Linked DNA regions of Callithrix jacchus. The protein of the gene in region 3 interacts with the protein of the main gene of each other region in a pairwise test. Links are inferred from orthologs where the notes say so. Each region holds a gene or a part of one and is shown on either strand. Other genes may lie near its edges. The genes, in order: MAPK8IP1, MAPK8IP2 and LRP2.

Region 1 (4,315 bases), on a different chromosome or scaffold from region 3:
GCCCAGGGAAGGGGTCTGAGCACAAAAAGCTAAGAATAGTGGCCACCCCTCTGGGCCCCAAGAGCAGGGAAAAGAGAAGCAGCCACGACCTTTGGCTTTGGGTATTGGGATATTGAGTCTGGAGCTGGGGGGTTGCCTTCTGCAAGGAAGGTGCCTTCTGCTCCTTGCTGGGTGCTACACTGAGGGAAAGGGGCCAGCATTACCCGTCAGCCTTCCAGATACGCAAATAGGACTCCACGACTTGTGGCACAGTATGCAGGTTTTCTGTCCTGTCCTGCAGTGTGGACAGGGTCTCTAGGGTTCTCTTGAGGGACCAGAGAAGCCAATAAGGTTTGCCCAGAGGCTCCATGACCCACCAAAGCTGGAGGCCTAGTCCATACTCTGTGAAATGACTCAATCAGGGAACACAGGGCCTTGAAGGCCTGGAAGCTCAGGCTTAACACCCTCTTGGGGGAGAGACAATGAGGAAGAAACCATGGCCAAAGCCTAGCAGGGATGGAGGTGCCAGAGGGAACAGAAAGAACCAAAATGATCCCAAGAAGTCAACAGTGGGAGCAGAGGGAAAAGCCCCAAGTCTTAGAATGTGAGTCTGTGGGTGCAGAGGAGGGGTGCTCTGCAGGAAATGCAGTTGAGGCGCTAAGAAGGAGAATGCTGGGAAGGTCCTGGGGTGAAGGAGGAGGTGCTGAGAGACTGAAAAGGCTGGAGGGCTCAATTCACCACAAGTAGCTGTTAGGGGCTGAAGAGAGGCTTGCATCAATCTTTAGAGAGGGCAGCCTCTAGGGAGAGTCTTTGGCAGGGTCCCCTCAAGGTAAAGGGACAGGACTGGGGTGAGGCCTGGATCCCGGTGCAGGAGGTGGAGTGTTTCCAGGTCTTAGTAGCAACACATTTGTGTTACGTTACATCCTCACAACCATGAGAGGGGCCGTTATTGTCCCATTTCACAGGTAAGAAGACCACACCTTAGTCCTCTTTAGTCACTAATGCAAGGCCCCAATGCCCAATCACTTGTGGAGCCAGAGAATTCACACCACCCAACTCCAAACCTGTACACTCTAAGAACCCACTGATATCCTCTCCTTTTTCTGCCTTCCTCCACGACCCTCCTTTTTCGTCTACCTTCTTGGTCTCTGCTGCGGGGGCCAAACCTGGACCTTGGGGTCCAGGGTCCTGCCATTAGTTATCTGATACCCGAGCGCTAAGCTCACCCGGAGGGACAAAGCCCACACCAGCCACTGGGGACCTTGAGGGGTAGAGGAGAGTCAGTGTCGGATTTAGGGCGGGGCTGAGCCAAGCCCAGGGCCGCGGGTCCGTGGCTTCAGCACCGCGGAGAGCGCCATCTCCGGGGGCGGGGCTGTCGGGACAGGGGCGGGGAAAGGGCGGGGCGCTCGAGACCCCGGCCGGGGCCCAGGGGCGCGCGCCGGGCGCTCTAGCCAGTCCCGCTAGCCGTGCGCGGCGCGGAGCCGCGCCTTGCCAGACACAGGTGCGCCCGCCCAGCCCGCCCAGCCCGAGCCCCGCGGCGGCGGCGGCGGCGGCGGCGGCGGCTGCCCCCTCGCCGCGCCTCCGCCTCCTTCGCCGCCGTCGCCTCCTCCGCGCCGCGCTCCGCCCGGATGGCCAGGGCTGTGCCCGAGAATGGCGGAGCGAGAAAGCGGCGGCCTGGGCGGGGGTGCTGCGTCCCCGCCCGCCGCCTCCCCGTTCCTGGGGCTGCACATCGCGTCTCCTCCCAATTTCAGGTGAGAGTCCCCGGCCGCCGCGCGCCTCGCCCTTCAGCGGGACTGATCCTCCTGGGCTGTCCCTGGCCGCCCCCTACCCCAGAACCTCGGGAACCCGGGAACGAGAGGACGGCGTGGGGATGGGGTATCTTCCCGGGACAGAGTCCCCCAGAAGCCCCGCCAGCCTCATGCTCGGACTGGTAGTCGCTGCAGGTTCACGGGGCCGCTCCCTCCGCCATTCCTGGTCCTAGGCCGGGAGGTCTGCGCTGGAATTGGAGGAGGGGGCTCGGAGGCTGCCTTCTTTCCCACCTCCGGGCTGGGCTGCAGCAGGGTCTGGGATCCGGGTTGTGATCCCTGAGCGGGCAGGCGGGCTGCATCTTAGCCTTTGCCCAGTCGGAAGATTTCTGAATAGGGCTGGGAACAGCCTGGGCGGGGCGGGGAGGGGCGGGGGGGGGGGGTCGCGGGTCGCAGTTTCCTGGGGGCAACGTTGTTGTTGGTGCTGGGAGGACGGCGTCTTGGGCCCCTGCCTGCCCAGATGGGCCTACCTGTCATGTCCGCCATGGCCAGGCCCCTCTCTGGATTGAGCAGCACCGACCTGGGCAGGTGTGTCTCTCAGGGCAGGCGCTGAAGGCTCAGCCTCAACCTGGGGAATCCTAGGCCCGGCTGTGGGAAGGGAAGTCGGCCAGGGAGTAGCCAGGGCCAGCGGGGGTGTCAGGGGTCCCTGCTGGAGTAAATACCCAGAACCCTGACCTAAGCTCCCATTCCACCCCTCCCACCGCCCCCCACCAGCCTGGTGTTAGGTCTGATGTGTTTCAGAGAAGTGAAGGGTGACTGTGTGGAGGAGGAATAGATATACCTCCCCCATAATTCTGACCCCTAGTTGGTGGGGAGGAAGAGGCAGATGTCACTGCTCCCCACCTAGAGAGGGAGGCTTAGACATACCCCATTGTTTCCCCATCTCAAGAGCTGGCGCCTTCCCCTCTCCTGGGGCCCCACCCCAGCCAGGCTCCAGCTGGGCTGTGGCGCCAGCCCCTCCTGGGAGCAAGGGGTCACTGGCTCCCAGGTCCTCAGGTGGACAGAGACCCCTGGGGATCTCTAATGGCATCATCAAACCCAGAAACCTCCCCCAAGACCCTGAGCTGAGCCGGGAGGACCAGAGGGGGCCAGATGGAGGAGACCAGGCCTGAAGGCTCCAGGGCTGCAGCTCTCTGATAATGCCTTCGACTCACAGGCTGAGGTCTGAGACTCCACCTGGCGTGGCGCACAAGGCCTCCATGCAAACACTGCCTCCCCACCTGGAGGCCTCTCTGCAGTGGAAGCACATAGTGCTTATAAGGACCTGGGTTCAAATCCTAGCTCCACTATCCAACTGCATGACCCAGGCAGGGTTTTGTCCACTGAGTGCCATCTGTTAAGTGGGCCGATTAATATTGATTCCTGCCTGGAAAGGAGAAAAAGCAGAGCAGGTCAGTGTTCAGCAAGGGCCAGCCCGGACACTAGCAGACTGCTACAGCTCGCTGCTATCCAGAGTGTCCTCCCAAGGCCACTCTCTTGATCCTCATAACCACCCGAGAGAAGGTAATGGTCCTCCCATTTTATAGACAAGGTGATTGAGATGAACAAAGGCAGAGTGGCTTGCTAGGGACTCCAAAATAGTAAGAGGCTGAGGCCACAGTGGGACCCAGGTCTGTGCATGTTCAGTCCACTCTGCCTCCCCGCCCTGCCTCCGGCCTAGAGGGCAGCTTTTCCTCCCCGACCTGCTTCCCCAGGTGTCATGAATGCTTTAGTGAGAGGAGCTGAGGAAACGGATACCAGCTAGTGAGTGTGTGGCCAGCTCTCGCCACATGGGACAAGGGTGGCAGTAGGCCAGGAGGTTGAAGCGTGGGTCGGCCCTCCAGGACATCGTGGCCTGGCTGCAGAGACAAGGCCAGCATGTGGGAATAATACGGGTCAGTGTCTCAGGCCCTGCTGACCTGCCCTGCTGTTCCTGCAGCCCCCACTGCCCTTTCTCCTGGCCCGCCTCTCACTATGCTTGACCCAGCTCCACTTAACCCTGGGTGGGTGGGTAGTGCTTTCCTGTGGCTCTTTGGTGGTGTCATGGATCCAACTGGCCTGGGCTTGAATCCTGACTGGGCCTTCTTAGCTGTGTGCCTTTACACTGGACACTTAAGCTCTCTGAGCCTCCAAGATGCCAGCGCTGGCCCCTGCTCAGGATGGTCCTGTGAATCAGATGAGATAACACGTGTTGAGTGTTTCAAGGGCTGAGGAGAGCCACAGGTAGGCAGGGCTGTGTGTGTGTGTGTGTTTATGTGTGTGTGTGCAACTTGACCCCCAGTGCCACTGTCAGCTCCCAGAAGACACAGGGGATCTGTACCCAAACTTTGGTATCTCCATTGCTCAGCACACGATAGGTACTCAACGGTGGTAAGCGCTGACATTTGGAAGGCACTCAGTTCGCCCAGGCACCATTCTAAGAGTTTCCTGTGTGCAAGAGTATTTACTCTTCACAATAACGATATCAACAGAGCATTGTTATTATCCACACTTGCATGAGGAAACTGAGGCAGAGGGAGGTTACGTAAGTGGCAGAGCTGGTAAGTGGCAGG
Region 2 (3,643 bases), on a different chromosome or scaffold from region 3:
CTTCCCCATCCCTGTCGCCTGCTGTTTTTCCAGGCTGGCCATCCTGAGCCCCAGGAGGACTGGCCCACCTCTGGGGGTCTGCTCCCCAGGGCCCACTCAGGCATGCTCCATACCCAAAGCAGCTGCTCATGTCCTTTGCCCGTGTGTCTCTCTCCACCCAGACCAGATGCAAGCCCGTCTGACCTGCACCTCCCGAGTCCAGCTCAGAGTGGACATCACTGCATGCTCAGCTCACAGAGCCAGGTGGGTGCAGGTGGAGCTCTTGGGGTCGGGTATGAGCAGCCCTCAGGGTTTGTGGGGACTCTGGGGGACGGTTAGGCTCTCACCAGCTGTTGCGGGGGTGGCAGCCGCAGAATGAGATGTTCTTCATCTGGAAGAAATGGCTGCAGCGCTGGAACTAGAGCAGAAGGGGCAGGAGCCCGTGTCAGAAAGGCCTGGGGCCACTCCTGCCTCCTGCCTGCTGGATGCCCCTGCCAGCCCGGCCCTGTCAGACTCCTCAGCCTTACCCTACCCCCCGACCCCAGTCCCCCACACCCCCACCTCGGGGCCTCCTCCACTCAGACTCAGCTTGACTCCCCGAAGAGAGATCTCGAGGTCACAGGAGGCAGGAGGGCGCAGGTGGACGGTCAGTTTCCGGGCAGTGGCGATCTAAGGAAGAAGTTGGGGGAGAAGAGGGTCTTGAGGAGCCCACAAGGGCCACTTTCTTTCCCCTTGGTGGGACTATGCCTCTGCTCCTTTTAGCTTATGTTCACAGACACTCCTGTTAAGGACCCCTGAGATGCAATTCTGGAAGATATAGGGGGTGGGCTTGGCCACTCCTCAGGCTCAGGAGGAGCGGTCACCTCTCTGCAGTCAGCTTGCTTCATCTTCCCTCTGCTCCTCTAGGCAGACTGCTGCGCTTGGCTCAGGAGCCAGGAACACAGACCCCACCCACCCTGGCCTCTTCACTGCCTGCCCCATGAGTGAGTTGGAGCTCTCAGATGCAGGGCTGGTCTGCTCTGCTCCCTACAGCCCCCAGCCTCAGTCTCAGGACTGCTGGATGGGCAGGTGCTCACTAATGTCCACTGAGTAGATGACTCTCAGGGAAGGGGCTGTGAGAGCTGGTCTCAATTTCAGACAGGAAGAGGAAGGGCTGATGGCAGTGCCTGGAAGGTCTGTGGCCCAGAGACCCAGAGGTGATGAGGGAGAGTTGCTGAGCTCTGTCCTGGACTCACCTGCTCAGGCCTCTGAACCAGGGCCTGGGGCACCCACCCTGAGCTGCCCTCCCTGTAGGAAGTCGAGGCCCTGTGCCAGCCTGTGGTGCTGGTGTGGCTGCCATGCGGACCCTCAGCCTGTACTTGCCTGGCCTCCACACTGACCTTCTGCATGGCTGCACACAGGATGCCGTTTCCCTGGTGACAGGGCACCTCCACAGAGCCCAGGAACTGCACATCGAAGCGCTCCACCCAGCAGGGGCTCCGTTTGCTCCCTGGGAGGCACAGAGGGCCCAGGTCAGTCAGGGGCAGAGCATCTGGGGTGACAAGCCATCCCTCAGGGTTGGGGCCTCACCCAGCAGGTCCTTGGCAGGGCCAGGCACCGCATGGGCGTAGAAGGCGGGGAACACCCCTCGCTCCCCTGTGCGCATGTTGAAGCCTCGGAACCAGAAGTCATCCTCCTCCGCCTCCACCAACACAGGGTCATCCACATCCAGCTCCAGCTCGTCTGGATGCCGTGGGATGAACCTGCCATTGGGAGACAGGTCACTGGGGAGGCAGGCAGGGCTGAGGGTCATGTCCACTGGTGTCCTGTGATGCCACGGACTGAGGCTGGGGCCACTACCAGCAAGGAGGGAGGCTGTACCTGAACACAGCCCGGTGCGTCTGCTCTCGCTCCTCACCGTTGACCAGACAGGAGAAAAGGCCAAAGGACTCGGTGCCTGAGAGATGCGGCAGGACAGAGGTGGGGGGCACGCGAAGACAGAGGCAGCAAGGCAGAGTGGGGGAAGGAAGGTGCTTAAAGGCCTGGCCTTGGGCAGAGGCCAAATCCCCTCCCCTCTGCAGTCTGATGTGGGTGTCCTGGGAGGGGAAAGGGACTGAGGCAGAGCAGGCCACCTCTTACCATGTCCTGGGTGGGAGAGTGTGGCCAGCCCTGACCACGGCCAGACCCTCAGGTGGCCCAGACTTGACCATGGCCAGACCCTCAGGTGGCCCTGGGAACTGTGGGGCACCTGTGGGACTAGGGCGAGGGAGTGCAGATATTCCTCGGGCCACCCCCATTTTACCCGCCTCTCACTCACTGGAGGACCTAGATGTGCTGTTGACGAAGACATTGAGGAACTTCTTGGAGAAAGTGAGGTCAGGGCTGTCGGGCGAGGAGTCCCCCGGGACCTGACTGCCGCCTAGCAGCGCAGCGCCTGCCTCCTCCTCACTGGCCTCCCCGCCGCTGTCCTCCTCGCTGTCGTGGCCCAGGCCGGCGCAGCGCCTCAGGCTCACCAGCTCCAGCTGCGTGTGCTCGTCCACCACCAGCGTGTACTTGACAGCGTCGTACACCAGTGAGGCGTCCCGCGGTGCTGAGGGGCCGGTACCCCTGCCCCCAGGGGGGCCCACACTGTCCTCGGCCTCCTCCTCATCTTCGTCGTCCTCTTCGTCCTCCTCCTCGGAGCAGGCGGCAGAGCAGGCTCGGCCGGGGCGGGCGGCGCGGCCGGGCGCGGCCCACAGCGGCGTGATGGTGTCGCGCGTGGGGTTGCTGAGGAACAGGCAGGGCCCGGGCTGCGCCGGGCCGGGCCGAGGCGCGGCGGGTGCGGGCGGCGGCGGCGCGCACAGCGTCTCCATGTCCACCAGCTCCACACCGCCGGGCCCCGTGGCCGCCTCGGGGTCCTGGGAGTCCTGGGCGACCCCGCCGGCCGGAGACACGGGCTCCCCGGGCTGGCGCTGCGCAGGAGACAGGCACTGGCTGGGGCAGCGAATGGGCGAGGAGCCCTCGGAGATCATGCGGCTCACCAGGTTGCTGAGCAGCCAGGGCGAGTCCGCGTCCTCGCTGAGGTCCGGCTCCGACTCAGACCCCGACTCGTACTCGCTGTTGGTGTCGTCGGGGCCCACGGGCAGGAAGGCGGGGCGGCGCGGGGGTTCGCGCAGGGGCTCCGGCTCCGGCTCGGGCTCCGGCTCCGAGGCGGGCGACGAGGCCTCCTCGATGGAGTTGGTGAGGTGCGAGGAGCGGCCGCTGCTGCTGCTCCCGCCATCGCTGCTCAGCTCCAGCTCGGTCTCCGAGATGGACGAGATCATGCGCCCCAGGCGCGCGCCGCCCGCGTCCTCCGAGTCGGAGCCCGGCGAGGACAGCTCCTGGCTGCTGCGACGTCCCCCGTGGCCCCCGCTCGAGCGGCTTCTCAGGTCAGCCTCGATGCCGGGATCTGAGGAGGGCGAAGTCCCCCCTGGCGCCGGGGGCTCCGCAGGCTGGTTCCCTTCGCAGTCGCAACCAGGGCGCACCGGCGACTGCGCCCCGCCAGGCCCTGCATCCGTGGGAGGGAGGGGGCCAGGGAGCTCTGCTGGGCGGGGAGGTGGGGTCACCCTCTCACTAAGATCCAGACCTCTTCCAGCAGCCAGCCCATCCTCCCTCCCCTCCTTCCGCGCTTCCCGGTGCCCCGCGGGCCCACCACCCCTCACCTCTG
Region 3 (3,643 bases):
ATCATTGGCAAGTACAAATCCCGATGGACATAGGCATTTAGCCCCAAAGGGCTCTTGAACACACTCGTGAGTACAACCACCATTGAAATCTGAGCAGCTGTTCTGGTCTAGAAAAAAGAAAGAAAATAATGAAAAAAGAAAATCAAGAATCTATGCTTCTTTAATTCATTCTTATACAATAGTTATCATGCAGTATCATGCCACCTTCAATATGATGCCCAGACAAGAACTAAGTTCAGCATTCACTTGGATGAGCTCTGCAGGCTATTAAGGGTTTGCTCTGATTTGCCTGAGGATTTACCATCCTTCCTATCCATTGGAATACAATTGCCTTCTTCACTACAGCCTGATAGTATAACTCCATTTATATAATTGAGAGTCCTTGGGAAAATATTGTAGACATCAGGGAAGAAGTGTCATTAATAGAGCATGCAAAGAGACTTAAAATTGTTTCTCATTTTCTTCCTCTGAATTCTTCTATCCATACAGAAATTTAAGAGAAAAGACTAGAAAATCTATGAAGTGAATAAAGGGGAAAGGTCATTGAAACATTAGAGTACACAGATCCACTAACACACCATCATGCCTTACTTTCAGAGCCAAAATGAAAATGCCTAAAGTCATTCTAAGACAATTCACATGTGTACTCTAACATATTTGCAAGAGTCATAAGACAGAACATGCATTAGAAAGGGAAGTAAGTTAATATAATCAGGACATTTTCAGAACAAATGCAACACATACGATAAGAATCTGAAATACTTCACAATCATACCTGGCTGGGGTTCATCTGAGAGTGAGCATTGATTAAAGGGGAAAGAAAGAAATGACAGTAATTAGGACCACATGCCAATCACAGCATTTTAATCACAGCAACACAAATCCCTGGACTTAATTTTTTTTTGTTACAAGTTCTGATTGAAATTAGAAAATATTAAAGATAGAAAAATTAATGAGCACATTACCAAGAGAACCAAATTTAATTTGACACTCTAATTCCCTCAATTTAGTCTTATTTTTTTAAACAAAGACATAAAAAGAAGTAAAAACACATAACCAAGTGCAAAGAATTTAATCAGAAAATTATCCAATGGTGATGTATTTTAATTCAATTATGGTTACCCCCTACACAAATGTGAACTCATAGAGGAACTGAAATCCCTTCCTAAAAATCTACACAGTGACTGAAAATGGTGATGCACACCAAGCTACTGTTCAGAATGAGTTTATGGTCAGTAAACTGTGGTCAGGAAACTTACTGCAAAGTGGGGACTCATCTGTCCCATTGGGGCAGTCAAAGGTGCCATCACATACTACACTCAGATTCACACAGATGTTATGGCCAAGACACTGCCATTGCCAACTAGGACAGCGAAAGGGCTGTGTAGGGCAGTCTTTCTCATCACTCATATCCCCGCAGTCATTGTCCCGATCACAGAGCCACGCCCTGTGGATGCAGTTTCCGTTATCACAGAGGAAATATGACGAAGGGCAAGTCTTGGGGACACAGGCATTGTGTTCATCAGATCCAGAGAGGCAGTCCGGATGCCCATCACACTCCCAGAACTTCGGGATGCAGTCACCATCTTCTTGACACTGAAATTCATCTGAGTGGCACATACCAGGAGGCCTGGTGGCTAGAAGGAAAACATGTGGGAAATGGGCCTGTGAATGTAATTCATGATCCCTTTTAAAACCTAGACTCAGAGGAAATGATTTTGGATCCAATAGTAGGTTTATAGTAACAACTATGACAAAATTAATACTGAAAGCTAAATAATACAGAGTCTTCTCCTGCATAGTTAGTATAGAAATATTTCTGTGTAGCAACTGGTGGATTTGACAACAAAGTACAGGATGCACACTGCTGACTAGAAGGTAAGTATCTGTGTCAAAGGAACATTCTGGGCCAGGCACAGTGGCTCACGCCTGTAATCCCAGCACTCTGGGAGGCCGAGGCAGGAGGATCACAAGGTCTGGAGATTGAGACCATCCTGGCCAACATGGTGAAACCCCATCTCTACTAAAAATACAAAAATTAGCTGGGTGTGGTGGTGCGTACCTGTAGTCCCAGCTACTCAAGAGGCTGAGACAGGAGAATCGCTTAAACCTGGGAGGCGGAGGTTGCAGTGAGCCACGATTGTGCCACTGCACTCCAGCCTGGCGACAGAGCAAGGCTCTGTCAAAAAAAAAAAACAAAAAAAAAGAACATTGTTTCTTATGTTTCTAATATTCTTCCAACTGCAGATTCAACAATAAAATTTATCTTTCTATGAAAGAATCGCCAGAACATTGTAATACAGCTTACATAGCTATGGTTACTTTGAACTTTACGTGTTTAATAACATGTTTGGGTGTTATTATTTTCCCTCAAATGAACTATACCCAATGAAACCAGCACACACTAAGTAAACTAAAGGTGATGGTAAATACTTAATTCTTTGCAAACTTTCCACTATGCATTGAGCAGTCCTGGAGAGATAGGTAAGCACTGCTTCCCTTTTCACAGGGGTAAACCGAAACTCTCTCCCAGGGATCTCACAAGGCAACAGCAAGCCAGCAGCAATTGACAGTTTAACCTCAACTCATCACAGAATTTTATGTTTTCAATGGAATACAGGAAAATTGGTGATTAGGAATTTTTAGATGCTGTGAAAACTATAAAGTACATAAGCATTTCATTTAACTTTTCTTTTGAATCCCTGGCTTTATACACTACCTTCTGACTTGGGAGGAAAATTCATGAAAACCTACTTTTCAAGGTCTGAAACACCATTGTTCAAACCAATGTTCAACTCACTGATGAGTTTTTGCAAGTCTCAAATCCATTTAACACAAAAGGTGAGCAAATAACAAACCATGTGAGTATAGGCCTCCAGTCTGTGAAGATTATAGATCCATCAGAATTATTTTGTATGAAGTCCTACTTGAATCCTCCAACTAAAGAAATTTCTATTCTCTGAACCTCCATAGAATTTTATCTGTGCCATTTCCAAGACCCTTATAACTGTCTTGCTTAATTGTCTCTTGCCTTCTATAATCTCCCTTACCACAGTCTGAGGACAAAGGTCATAAATAACATCTTAGCAGATATTCAACACATAATAGCACAAAGAATAAATTTATCAGACTCAATACCAAATACAGCTCCATACCATTTCTACACCATGATTTGACCTCTCTACTGAAACTTAAAAGGAACCAGTAAAATATATTTATATGGAGTAAAGCCTCAAAAGTTTAAACCCACTAATGAGGGAAGTCCTAAGAAAAACTAAAAGTGAGGATGAAAATATCTAAGACATATTTAGCCTATCAAAAAGACTATTTGAAGTGTCCATTTATACAACCACTTGATTCACTAATTGAACATTATTTGGAAATGTCTACTCAATTTTACTGTATGTTCAACATTGCATTCCTTTGAGGATACTTTGTAATTCAGGCTATCTTTCCCCCAATTTGTCTGAGATAGGGAAAATTTGTGGTAATATCAATGCTGGTAAAAATGAAATGGTCCCTTTGTCTGAAACATGCTAGGTATGTGTTACTTACGACAGCCTGCTTCATCCGAGTTGTCACTGCAGTCAAAAACACCATCACAATGTTTTGTGATGCTAATACATTTATCCCCACTGCCACA

What was found.
Region 1: the proteins of LRP2 (region 3) and MAPK8IP1 interact in a two-hybrid assay, tested with the Homo sapiens proteins (2 studies listed by BioGRID). The link is inferred for Callithrix jacchus from reciprocal best matches to the Homo sapiens genes LRP2 and MAPK8IP1.
Region 2: the proteins of LRP2 (region 3) and MAPK8IP2 interact in a two-hybrid assay, tested with the Homo sapiens proteins (2 studies listed by BioGRID). The link is inferred for Callithrix jacchus from reciprocal best matches to the Homo sapiens genes LRP2 and MAPK8IP2.

What each region holds. Positions count from the first base shown.
Region 1 is NC_133511.1:110,908,715-110,913,029, forward strand, and holds the start of MAPK8IP1 (C-Jun-amino-terminal kinase-interacting protein 1), read left to right. Parts: upstream 1-1,432; 5' UTR 1,433-1,629; coding exon 1,630-1,730; intron 1,731-4,315. UniProt on the Homo sapiens protein: The JNK-interacting protein (JIP) group of scaffold proteins selectively mediates JNK signaling by aggregating specific components of the MAPK cascade to form a functional JNK signaling module. Required for JNK activation in response to excitotoxic stress.
Region 2 is NC_133502.1:219,185,725-219,189,367, reverse strand, and holds part of MAPK8IP2 (C-Jun-amino-terminal kinase-interacting protein 2), read right to left. Parts: coding exon 3,639-3,643; intron 3,521-3,638; coding exon 2,276-3,520; intron 1,916-2,275; coding exon 1,840-1,915; intron 1,722-1,839; coding exon 1,549-1,721; intron 1,469-1,548; coding exon 1,359-1,468; intron 649-1,358; coding exon 541-648; intron 398-540; coding exon 327-397; intron 1-326. UniProt on the Homo sapiens protein: The JNK-interacting protein (JIP) group of scaffold proteins selectively mediates JNK signaling by aggregating specific components of the MAPK cascade to form a functional JNK signaling module.
Region 3 is NC_133507.1:60,247,632-60,251,274, reverse strand, and holds part of LRP2 (low-density lipoprotein receptor-related protein 2), read right to left. Parts: coding exon 3,556-3,643; intron 1,638-3,555; coding exon 1,260-1,637; intron 108-1,259; coding exon 1-107. UniProt on the Homo sapiens protein: Multiligand endocytic receptor. Acts together with CUBN to mediate endocytosis of high-density lipoproteins. Mediates receptor-mediated uptake of polybasic drugs such as aprotinin, aminoglycosides and polymyxin B.